2 linked regions of the Daphnia pulex genome follow. Each later gene encodes a partner of the first gene's protein in a complex. Links are inferred from orthologs where the notes say so. Each region holds a gene or a part of one and is shown on either strand. Other genes may lie near its edges.

Region 1 (4,813 bases):
GACAAGAAATAGGATTCCTTCAAATGATTTTACAGTTTCTATAAAAATTCGAATTCATCCTGAAATAAGGTACAACATTTCAGAAAAGTTCACTTCAGATTGTGAATATGAACTTTTTTTAAAAATATTATCTAGAAAAACAGTGGAGTTGTGTCAACAAGTGGAGGCAGCAGGTCTATCCTTTCTAACAGTTCATGGTAGAACCAAAGATCAGAGATCTGATCCAGTTAATTTAGAGGGTGTAAAATTGATCAAAGAAAGTGTTAGGGTCCCAGTGATAGCTAATGGAGATATTTGTAGCCTTCAAGATGCTGAGCACGTTCAACAAATAACTAACGTCAACGGTAAACTGTCGATATGATTACGGACAGTCTGGAACTGCCATTACCCTTCTTTTAAATATCTAGGAGTCATGTCAGCTAGAGGAATCTTAGAAAATCCAGGTAATTGAAACATCTTATTCTCCATGTTTCTTATAGCATTTGATTTAATATTTTGGCTTTTGCTACTGTTTGTTTAGCAATGTTTGCTGGATTCTCCGAAACTCCCATCGAGTGCATCAAAGACTGGATGAAGCTTTCTTTAGAAACTGGTATCTCCTTCACTCACTTTCATCATCATCTCATCTACATGTGCGAGAAAAATATGTCACGAGTCGACAGGAGATATTTTAATGCGCTGTCCAGTACCACTGCCGTGATCGACTATATGGAAAATTACTTGTCTTTATGTGAATAAAGAATGATTTCGGTTGAATTTTATGTTAGGCGTTTATATTTAAGCTTGTTTCTTTTTTTACACACATACAACCTCATACAAGGACTGCAGTTAAAGAATGGGGGAATCCATAGAATTATCTATATTATAATCTAAGCTTGCTAACGCTTATGAGAAATTGATGGCTTTGCCGGAGAAAGCTGCGAGACTGGCTTCCCTCAGTGCTTCCGAGCAGGTCTGTAAATGAGAAAAACGAAGTTAGACGAAAATATTTTCTTGGACAATAATTCAAATTATTAGTATACCGGATGGGCGTGGCAAACGCGGGCAATGTCTTCGCAGGAAGCACCATATTCCATGGCTAATGCGGCTTCGTTGATCATTTCGCCGGCACCCTGAATAATATCATCAAATGTAATTTATTACAATTTAAATGACATGGTAGAAACAAAAGATAACGTACGGGTCCAATTATGTGAGCTCCAAGAAGGCGATCAGTAGTCTTGTCTCCTAAGATTTTAACCATACCATCGGTATCATCGTTTGTCTTGGCGCGGCTGTTGGCGGCGAAGGGGAATTTACCAATTTTGTATTCAACTCCCTAAATTCAATAAAGCATGATAAGTTAAAAAAGGGTATAAATATTAGGAAATTACCATTGATTTCAAGTCCTCTTCGGATTTTCCAACCCAAGCAACTTCAGGGTGTGTGTAAATGACGGAAGGTACGCAGTTGTAGTCGATGTGAACGGATCCTCCTGCAATTCCTTCGACACAGATAATGCCTTCATCTTCAGCTTTGTGGGCCAGCATGGGGCCGAGAATGCAATCACCAATGGCGTAGATGCTACCGAGTTTAACACATTTCATGTAGTACAGAACACACTATACCGAGACGTTTAAGTAAGGTGATACTCACTTGGGGACAACGGACTGGAAACGTGAATTGACCGGAATTCTTCCTCTCTGGTCGAGTTCGATGGACATTTCTTCAAGACCTAAACTCTTCGTGAAGGGACGGCGACCAACACAAACCAGTAGAACGTCGCAATCCATCTGAATTATCAGGCATATGATAAAATTAGAACGGTATGTCCATGGATAGGGGAGAGGTGTTGTTTAGTACCTCTTCTTTCTTGGCAGATTTGACATTTTCGACGTTCACAATGATTTTTCCGCCGGATTTTTGTGCTCCCAACACTTTGGTTCCCAATTTAAATTGCATGTGTTGTTTGGTGAGGATTCTTTGGAACGATTTTGCCATTTCTTGATCAATACCCAAACCACCGATTTGATTCATAAATTCAACAGCCGTCACCTTGGCTCCAAGTCGAGACCACACTGATCCCTATAATTATTTAATTAATTAAGAATTTTTTTTTTTTTTAAATATTATTTTTTTAAAGCTTTTTTATGTCAAATAAAGTAAATGTTACCAATTCCAAACCAATGACTCCTGCTCCGATGACAATCATTTTCTCTGGAACGGTTTTTAAACAAAGTGCGCCAGTAGACGAGACAATTTGTTCTTCATCGATATCGATTCCGGGGAATGGTGTCACTTCTGATCCCGTTGCGATCAAAATATTCTTGGTTCGGACGATTTCCTACCGAGATGAAAACAAAATAGAATTTTCCATGAAATACACAGTTAATATTATTAATTAATACCTGGGTTCCATCTTCTTTAAGAGCAGTAACTTCATTCGCACCAGTAATTTTACCATGTCCTCTGATGTGTGTCACTTTGTTGCTCTTGAATAAATGAGCAATTCCTCCAGTTAAAGATTTCACAGCTGTTTCTTTTGCTTTCATCATTTGAGGAAGGTTCAATGAAAGGCCAGTAACTAGAGAAAAGTATTGATTTAATTCAGTTCACATTATAAATCTTAAAATAATTAATCACCATCAATTCCTCTATTTTTGAATTCACTTTGGGCCATGTGATAGTAGTGAGAATTATTCAATAGTGCTTTGGAAGGAATGCAGCCAACATTAAGGCAAGTGCCTCCAAGGGTTGCATTTTTCTCTACACAGACTGTTTTCATTCCCAGCTGGGCAGCCTTGATAGCTGCCACATAACCACCAGGGCCCGAGCCAATGACCACCAGATCAGCTTCAGTACTGTCAGAGTACCATCTGCAGTTAGCTAATTGGTTCCTGACAGCTGCAGTGACCTGTAACCAAGAAAAGATATTACATAATAAGTTTATTCTTTTTAATAGCTACACCAGATTAAAGAAAAAAGAAGGCTCAACATGTCTTGGTCCCCAATAAACAGTTAAAATACGTTGAATCGCATTAGTACGGTGACGAAATACTTTTTAAATTTTTATAATAGATAATTTTTTGAATGCAATGGAAATACCTTAAGATTTTGAGGCAATTTACTCAAAATATTAACTTGCATTTTTATTTTAGTTCTTCACGATTTCACGAGCTTTTTCCCAGCGGTCAGAAGTTGTTCAGCTGTTCAGCGACACTATCACCATCTGTACTAGAAAGGGTGAACTATGTTAAAACTTACAAATTGTTTTTCTTTCCACCAGGAGATGGAAACGTGTTTTCCAGACTATTTGAGAACGTTCTCGATTCATAACAAACGGATACATACACTCGCTGGGGCTCATTTTCTCGCTATTTGAAGCTGTGACTTGTACGAGTCGATTAAGTCGAGAAATCTACTCTTGCGAACAACTAGTGTTCCAATAAAACAAACGTTTTATCATTTAAGTGTTTCGAGTCCAAGCTCTACTATTCTGTAATACAGAAAGGTAATAATCAAACGTTTTAACTAGTACGTATTGGTGGTGGGTTAAATTGTGTCACAGTCCAAACTTAGAAGTCGACGTCATCGACGACCCTGAATCGTTGACCTTCTTTGGGCATCACGCATCACACCGTTTTGTTACTCTCCCTCTTTTCCTTAAGAATTTCCTACTTAGATTATTTTAAACATATTGAGTTTTTTAAAATTCAGTTATCCCCAAGCAAAATCCAATTACCCTCCATTAATCAAGTTCTCTTTTGTTTAGTTTTCACTTTCCAATACATTCTAGGCTTCCTTCATGAAAATGGGAAAAGATTATTACAAAATTCTTGGAATATCAAAATCAGCTACTGATGATGAAATCAAGAAGGCATACCGTAAACTGGCATTGAAATACCACCCTGATAAAAATAAAGCACCAGGTGCAGAAGACAAATTTAAGGAGGTAGCAGAAGCATATGAAGTTTTAAGTGACAAAAAGAAGAGAGATGTCTTTGATCAGTATGGAGAAGAAGGATTAAAGGTAAGAAAATGAACTATTCTCCTATTAAATGACTTAAGTTTTTACATCATATTTGTACTTAAAAAGGGTGGATTGGGAAGTGGTGGTGGCGGCGGAGGAGGAGGCGGCGGCGGTCCGGGTGCCAGCTTTTCCTACGCCTATCATGGTGATCCAAGGGCCACGTTTGCTCAATTTTTCGGTTCATCCAACCCTTTTGAATCCTTCTTCACAATGGGTGGAATGGGTCAACAGCAGCAAGGTGGAAACAGAGGATTCTTTCCAGAAGGTGGTGAAGACATGGACGTGGATGACCCTTTTATCAACTTGGGATTTGGAGGAAGAAATCCCGGGGGAGCTTTCCGATCTCAGAGTTTCAACATGCACGGGCCAGGAATGGGAAAAGAGAAAGTACAAGATCCGCCCATTGAATACGACCTTAACGTCACATTAGAAGAAGTTCTTAAAGGTAAATTTATTTTGTAATACTCAGTTCTTGGATTTGTGATTTACTTTGCTGGCTATTTTTAGGATGTACCAAAAAGATGAAAATCTCCCGCAAAGTTTACCAGGCAGATGGCACGTCTAAAAAAGAAGACAAAGTATTAACCATAAACGTCAAGCCAGGCTGGAAAGCAGGAACAAAAATCACGTTCCAGCGAGAAGGGGACCAGACGCCCAACAAGATACCCGCAGATATTGTTTTCATCATACGAGACAAACCTCACGGGCTGTTGAAGAGGGATGGCTGCGATCTGCGCTACACTTCCAAAGTTTCCCTTAGAGAGGTAAGAGATAATATATTATAAAAGTTTCGTTCGAGCAGGT
Region 2 (4,921 bases), on another chromosome or scaffold:
GGAACTCAGAAGGGAAGACACTACCAAAGAACGTCAACTTTCCATTAGTGCTGATCTCTATGGATTGATCAAAACTCATGCAGCAGAGGTAAGTGAAAAGTTGATGAAAAGCTGTAATTCATTACAAATTGTATAATTAAATTTTCCTTTTAGTTGGTCTTTGCCCATGATACAGCCAGAGTTATTGAATGCTTGTTTGAGAAATCATCTCAGGATATCAGAGATGCCTTATTCAATGAACTTAAAAGCCATACTGTTAATTTGGCTAAATCACAGTACGCACATTTCTACTTGATGAAAGTTCTCCGCCATGGTAACAAGGAACAGCGAAATTATGTCATCACTGCGTTAAGCGGAAAAGTTGTTTTTCTTATGAAACACAAGGTATGCATCTATTTAACACCATCTTCTTTATTTCAATATTTGGCTAATTAATTCTTTATTATTTATCAGTTCGCCTCCAAAGTGGTTGAAACGGCATACAACGATTGGGCTAACGCAAGTCAACGCGCTCTGCTGAGCCAGGAATTTTATGGACCTGAATTTAAACTTTTTAAAGATGAGTCCATTACTACGTTGAGTGCCGCTCTGGCTAAACATCCCGAGAAGAGAGAAGTATTCCTAAAGCATATGAACCAGGCCATCGAACCAATCATTGCCAAAGGTTTGTTGATTTGATACCAATATTCGATTGTATTCAACCGTCTAATCGATTTTTTAATTGGAAAAGGTGTCTTCAATCACAGTTTATTGCATCGTTTGACTAATGAGTACCTTACTCACTGCAAAGAGAATGAACGCTCTGAAATGATCCAAAGTCTTCGTCAGGCAGTCGTTCAAGTTTTGCACACTCGCGATGGAGCTCGAGTTGGAATGACGTGCCTCTGGTATGGTACCCAAAAAGATCGAAAGGTAAATTTAAATTTTATTTATTTTGTGTTCGAAATTATATCTCACCCGCCTGTCTATTGAAAATTATATAGGATATCATCAAAAGTTTCAAAGGTCACGTAACCAAGATCTGCTTAGAGGAGCACGGCCACATGGTGCTGATGGCGCTTTTCGATTCCGTGGATGACACCAAACTCGTTGCCAAAGCTATTGTCACAGAAATTGCTACCAACTGGAGAGAGATTGCTGTTCACGAGCACGGCCGAAAGGTTGTCATGTACTTGCTTGCTGGCCGCGATCCCAAGTTCACCCATCCACAGATTATTGACATATTGAAGCAAGGAGACGGTAATCCCAACAGCAAGAAAGATATGGAAACTCGTCACAAGGAACTTCTCCAGTATGCCTCCCCTTCCTGGTTGGAAGCTGTCTCACACGAACCTGAAATGTGGTTGAAAGATAGCAAAAACTGTCTTGTTCTTGGCTCCATTCTCAAATTTTGCGTCGGGGAAGAATTGCAAGCTGCTTTTAAAGCAGTGGCTTCAGTTATTGGTAACCCACTCGACCAAGATCTGAGAAACGCGTTTAGCTCTAGTGGCGAAAAAGTTCAATATTGGGTTGAACAGTCGGCTGTTCATATGACGGTTAAAAAGCTAATTCAGTTTGACAAGCTACGAACGCAACCTCCCTATTTTAGCCAGGCAATCATCGATGAAGTAGACTCTGATGAGATTAAAGGTTGGCTAAGCTGCAATCGCGGTTCTTTCTTGCTCGTTGGAATGGTTGAAACCGAAATTGACAGTGTCATACAAGCAGTTTTAGAAAAACTTAAAAATTTGAGGAAATTTCTACAAAAACAAACCAACAAAGGCTCTGACATCCTTGATTCCAAATTGGCGAAGTTGGAACCAATCTAGACTTCACTGTTGAACTGTAATCGAAAAAAAATCATTGGAATAAAAAATAATTTCTGGAACATTTTGTATTTTTTTTTTAATTTAAAACAAATAAGAATTTTGTGTTGCCATATTTGCAAATTTATTTATTTTAAATTATTATTTTATAAATAATTTCAATAAATATAAGTGTGTGCTCAGCGCCATCTTCTCTCCGTCGGACGTGATAAGTGTAGAATTTTTCCTCTGCGAGTAAACATGGCTTCTGCTTCACGACGAATTGTTTGTAGTTTTCGACAACATAAGTTGTTCTACCTGGTAATTAGATTTTTAATTTGTCAACTAGATTCGATAGAATAATTTAAAAATTTATCCCGTTTTAAATAACACCTAGAAATCACGATTGCAATACAATGCCGTTCCATTGCTTATTTCTCGTTTCGGACCCTGCGGTCACGTCGAACAATTTCATCCAATAACTACTAGATTTTTTCATTCTTCGAAACCTTTTTATGGAGAGAAAGTACCCTTCAAACTTTCAGATATTGGAGAGGGAATCACGGAAGTTACGGTTAAAGAATGGTAATAGTCTTTGTTTAACATTTATTGTTCACTGTATTTATATGAGATTGAAATCAATTCTAAAGGTATGTCAAGGAAGGTGATAAAGTGGCTCAGTTTGACCCCATCTGTGAAGTTCAGAGTGACAAAGCATCAGTTACCATTACCAGTCGCTATGATGGAATCATTAGCAAGTTGCATTATGCTACAGACGATATGGCCAAAGTGGGTACACCATTGGTAGATATAGAAGTCAGTGGTTCAGTCACAGGTACAAAAAACAGTGATTCTTGTTTCACTTGATTTTGTGTTGCTTATAGTTTTTTTTTTTAGAAGAGCCTGTTGAAGAGTTGCAAGAAAAAGATGCCATACCCCTCGGTGAAAGAGAAGACGAGAGTTTGGATACTCTAGAACTTCCAGCAGAAAAGGTATTGACAACACCATCTGTTAGAAAAATGGCCAGTGATCATAAGGTATGTTTTAGCGACTGAACTTTAATAGAAATTCTGTCAGTAAAACTTGGTTTTAATATTATAGATAAATCTACGAGATGTACAAGGAAGTGGGAGAGACGGACGTATCTTGAAGGAAGATATGCTTCGGCACATTGAAACTCTTCGTAGCTCTAAGAGCGCCCCGAAAGCTAAACAACAGGCGCCCCAGGAACAACCTAAACCTGTTGCAGCTACCTCCCAACAGCCGTCGCCTTCAACAAAAAGCCCACAGCAAGTGAGACCAGCCTGTCCGGTTGGAGTGGACCGCACTGAGTCGATTAAAGGATTTAAGAAGGCTATGGCAAAGTCCATGACTAATGCACTGGTATGATCAAGAGATTTCACGTTCATATTTTCGGTTCATAATTTTCAAGATATTTATTTTTTAAAGCGAATTCCTCATTTTGGTTATTGTGATGAAATTGACATGACATCAATGGCTACGCTGAGACATTCTCTGAAAGAGAATCCAATGGTTAAAGAGCGAGGCATTAAGTTGTCTTTCATGCCATTCTTCATTAAAGCTGCATCCATGGCTCTGCAACAGTTCCCAGTTCTTAATGCTTCGGTTGACGAAGCTTGCGAAAATATTACTTACAAGTATGTAACCAAAAAAAAAAAAAAAAGTTTCTTTCTCACGTAAATAATTATTGAACTTCTTTTATTTAGAGCCTCTCATAATATTGGATTTGCCATGGATACGAGTCTCGGTTTAATTGTGCCGAATGTAAAAAATGTCCAATCATTGTCTGTGATGGATGTTGCTATCGAACTAGCCAGGCTGCAGGAGCTAGGCAATAAAGGAGTTTTGGGCACTGCAGATTTAACCGGTGGAACTTTCACCTTATCCAACATTGGATCGGTTGGATATAAATCTCTTAATATATTTTATTGATTACTTTTTATAAATTCCTCGTTTAAAACGTTTTCCCTTTTAATTTCAGATAGGAGGAACTTATGCCAAACCCGTCATTATGCCGCCGGAGGTTGCTATTGGAGCAATAGGACGTGTCCAGGTAGTTTTTAAATTTCGGCAACCTTTAATTATTCAGATGATTCAGTAGTATTGAATTGTTTAGGTACTTCCTCGTTTCAACAACAAAGGTGAGGTGGTGAGAGCATCCATCATGCAAGTTAGTTGGTCTGCTGACCATCGAGTGATTGATGGCGCCTCAATGGCGCGATTTTCCAATTTGTGGAAGGCTTATCTAGAAAATCCCAGCATTATGATCTTAGACTTGAAATGAATATTCAAATACTAATAATGAAGTACTCTACAATCCGTGTCCTCCTGGCGGAAGGGTACGTTTCTAAATTTAATAAAAGAGGATCTATATTAGTGTATAATGGTCGCGAAGTGAAATCTCAACAGCATGGGACTCAGTCATATGGTCAGTATGATCATCAGTGTATGAAAAAAAAAGAAACTTGATATAATATACTGCCTATCTGTTATTTCACTAAGATAACAGATTAGTCCTACACGTGAAATTTTCTTTTAAATGTTTTTCTTTTACTTAAGTTTAATATTTTAAATTAAACAAACAATATGACTGTGTTTGTGAATTTGTAGTTTTATGTACTATTTATCCAGTGTGAACAACATTTTCTTGTACTAGTAATGCCATGTTTAATTTTTAATATTATTTACTTTATGTGATGCAACTTTAACAGGAGATAGTGGAGACGGACTTGGTCAGTGGCCCACTTGTCTGCCCGCTAGGTTAAGAAAACCAACGTATCTGTCATCTGTCATGAATTACCTGTTCGTAAGTTTTCGTAATGTTTTGGGAATTTCCCTCAGAAATAGTAAATCACCCAATTACTTACGATTCGGTTCGGTGTGCGCGGTTGCGTCGGTTTAAAATTGAGCAAATAGAGAAGCTTGTTGTGCGCAAAACAGAAACATTTGTAATGACTTTCTCAATCCGAATGAAATATTCAAATACTCCCTAAAATCGTTAAATAACCTAACCAAACACAAAAAACAGTAACTACACAATAACCGTCTAAGCCAACGAGCCCCCTAGCGGGATAATGGATTACATCGAATGAAGCCACAACCCCGCCAAATAAACG

Evidence for each region.
Region 2: the proteins of dihydrolipoyl dehydrogenase, mitochondrial-like (region 1) and lipoamide acyltransferase component of branched-chain alpha-keto acid dehydrogenase complex, mitochondrial-like are in contact, whole or in part, in a crystal structure (PDB 3RNM), measured with the Homo sapiens proteins. The link is inferred for Daphnia pulex from reciprocal best matches to the Homo sapiens genes DLD and DBT. Residues at the interface, in NP_000099.2 of Homo sapiens: Ser446, Thr447, Asp448, Arg449, Glu472, Tyr473, Gly474, Ser476, Glu478, Asp479, Arg482; in NP_001909.4 of Homo sapiens: Thr174, Pro175, Ala176, Lys196, Arg199, Leu201, Lys202, Glu203, Leu206.

Annotation. Positions count from the first base shown.
Region 1 is NC_060019.1:6,199,835-6,204,647, reverse strand, and holds dihydrolipoyl dehydrogenase, mitochondrial-like, read right to left. Parts: upstream 3,232-4,813; 5' UTR 3,127-3,231; coding exon 3,085-3,126; intron 2,894-3,084; coding exon 2,623-2,893; intron 2,564-2,622; coding exon 2,388-2,563; intron 2,324-2,387; coding exon 2,153-2,323; intron 2,065-2,152; coding exon 1,843-2,064; intron 1,773-1,842; coding exon 1,636-1,772; intron 1,564-1,635; coding exon 1,374-1,563; intron 1,319-1,373; coding exon 1,181-1,318; intron 1,113-1,180; coding exon 1,023-1,112; intron 955-1,022; coding exon 886-954; 3' UTR 757-885; downstream 1-756. Other genes in the region: tRNA-dihydrouridine(20a/20b) synthase [NAD(P)+]-like, read left to right, coding at 1-69, 136-344, 408-443, 521-738; dnaJ protein homolog 1-like, read left to right, coding at 3,785-4,009, 4,076-4,454, 4,517-4,773. UniProt on the Homo sapiens protein: Lipoamide dehydrogenase is a component of the glycine cleavage system as well as an E3 component of three alpha-ketoacid dehydrogenase complexes (pyruvate-, alpha-ketoglutarate-, and branched-chain amino acid-dehydrogenase complex).
Region 2 is NC_060026.1:4,119,733-4,124,653, reverse strand, and holds lipoamide acyltransferase component of branched-chain alpha-keto acid dehydrogenase complex, mitochondrial-like, read left to right. Parts: upstream 1-1,965; 5' UTR 1,966-2,045; coding exon 2,046-2,105; intron 2,106-2,181; coding exon 2,182-2,369; intron 2,370-2,434; coding exon 2,435-2,619; intron 2,620-2,681; coding exon 2,682-2,821; intron 2,822-2,885; coding exon 2,886-3,167; intron 3,168-3,233; coding exon 3,234-3,442; intron 3,443-3,511; coding exon 3,512-3,704; intron 3,705-3,786; coding exon 3,787-3,858; intron 3,859-3,921; coding exon 3,922-4,089; 3' UTR 4,090-4,333; downstream 4,334-4,921. Other genes in the region: pumilio homolog 3-like, read left to right, coding at 1-88, 154-384, 454-664, 731-912, 984-1,808. UniProt on the Homo sapiens protein: The branched-chain alpha-keto dehydrogenase complex catalyzes the overall conversion of alpha-keto acids to acyl-CoA and CO(2).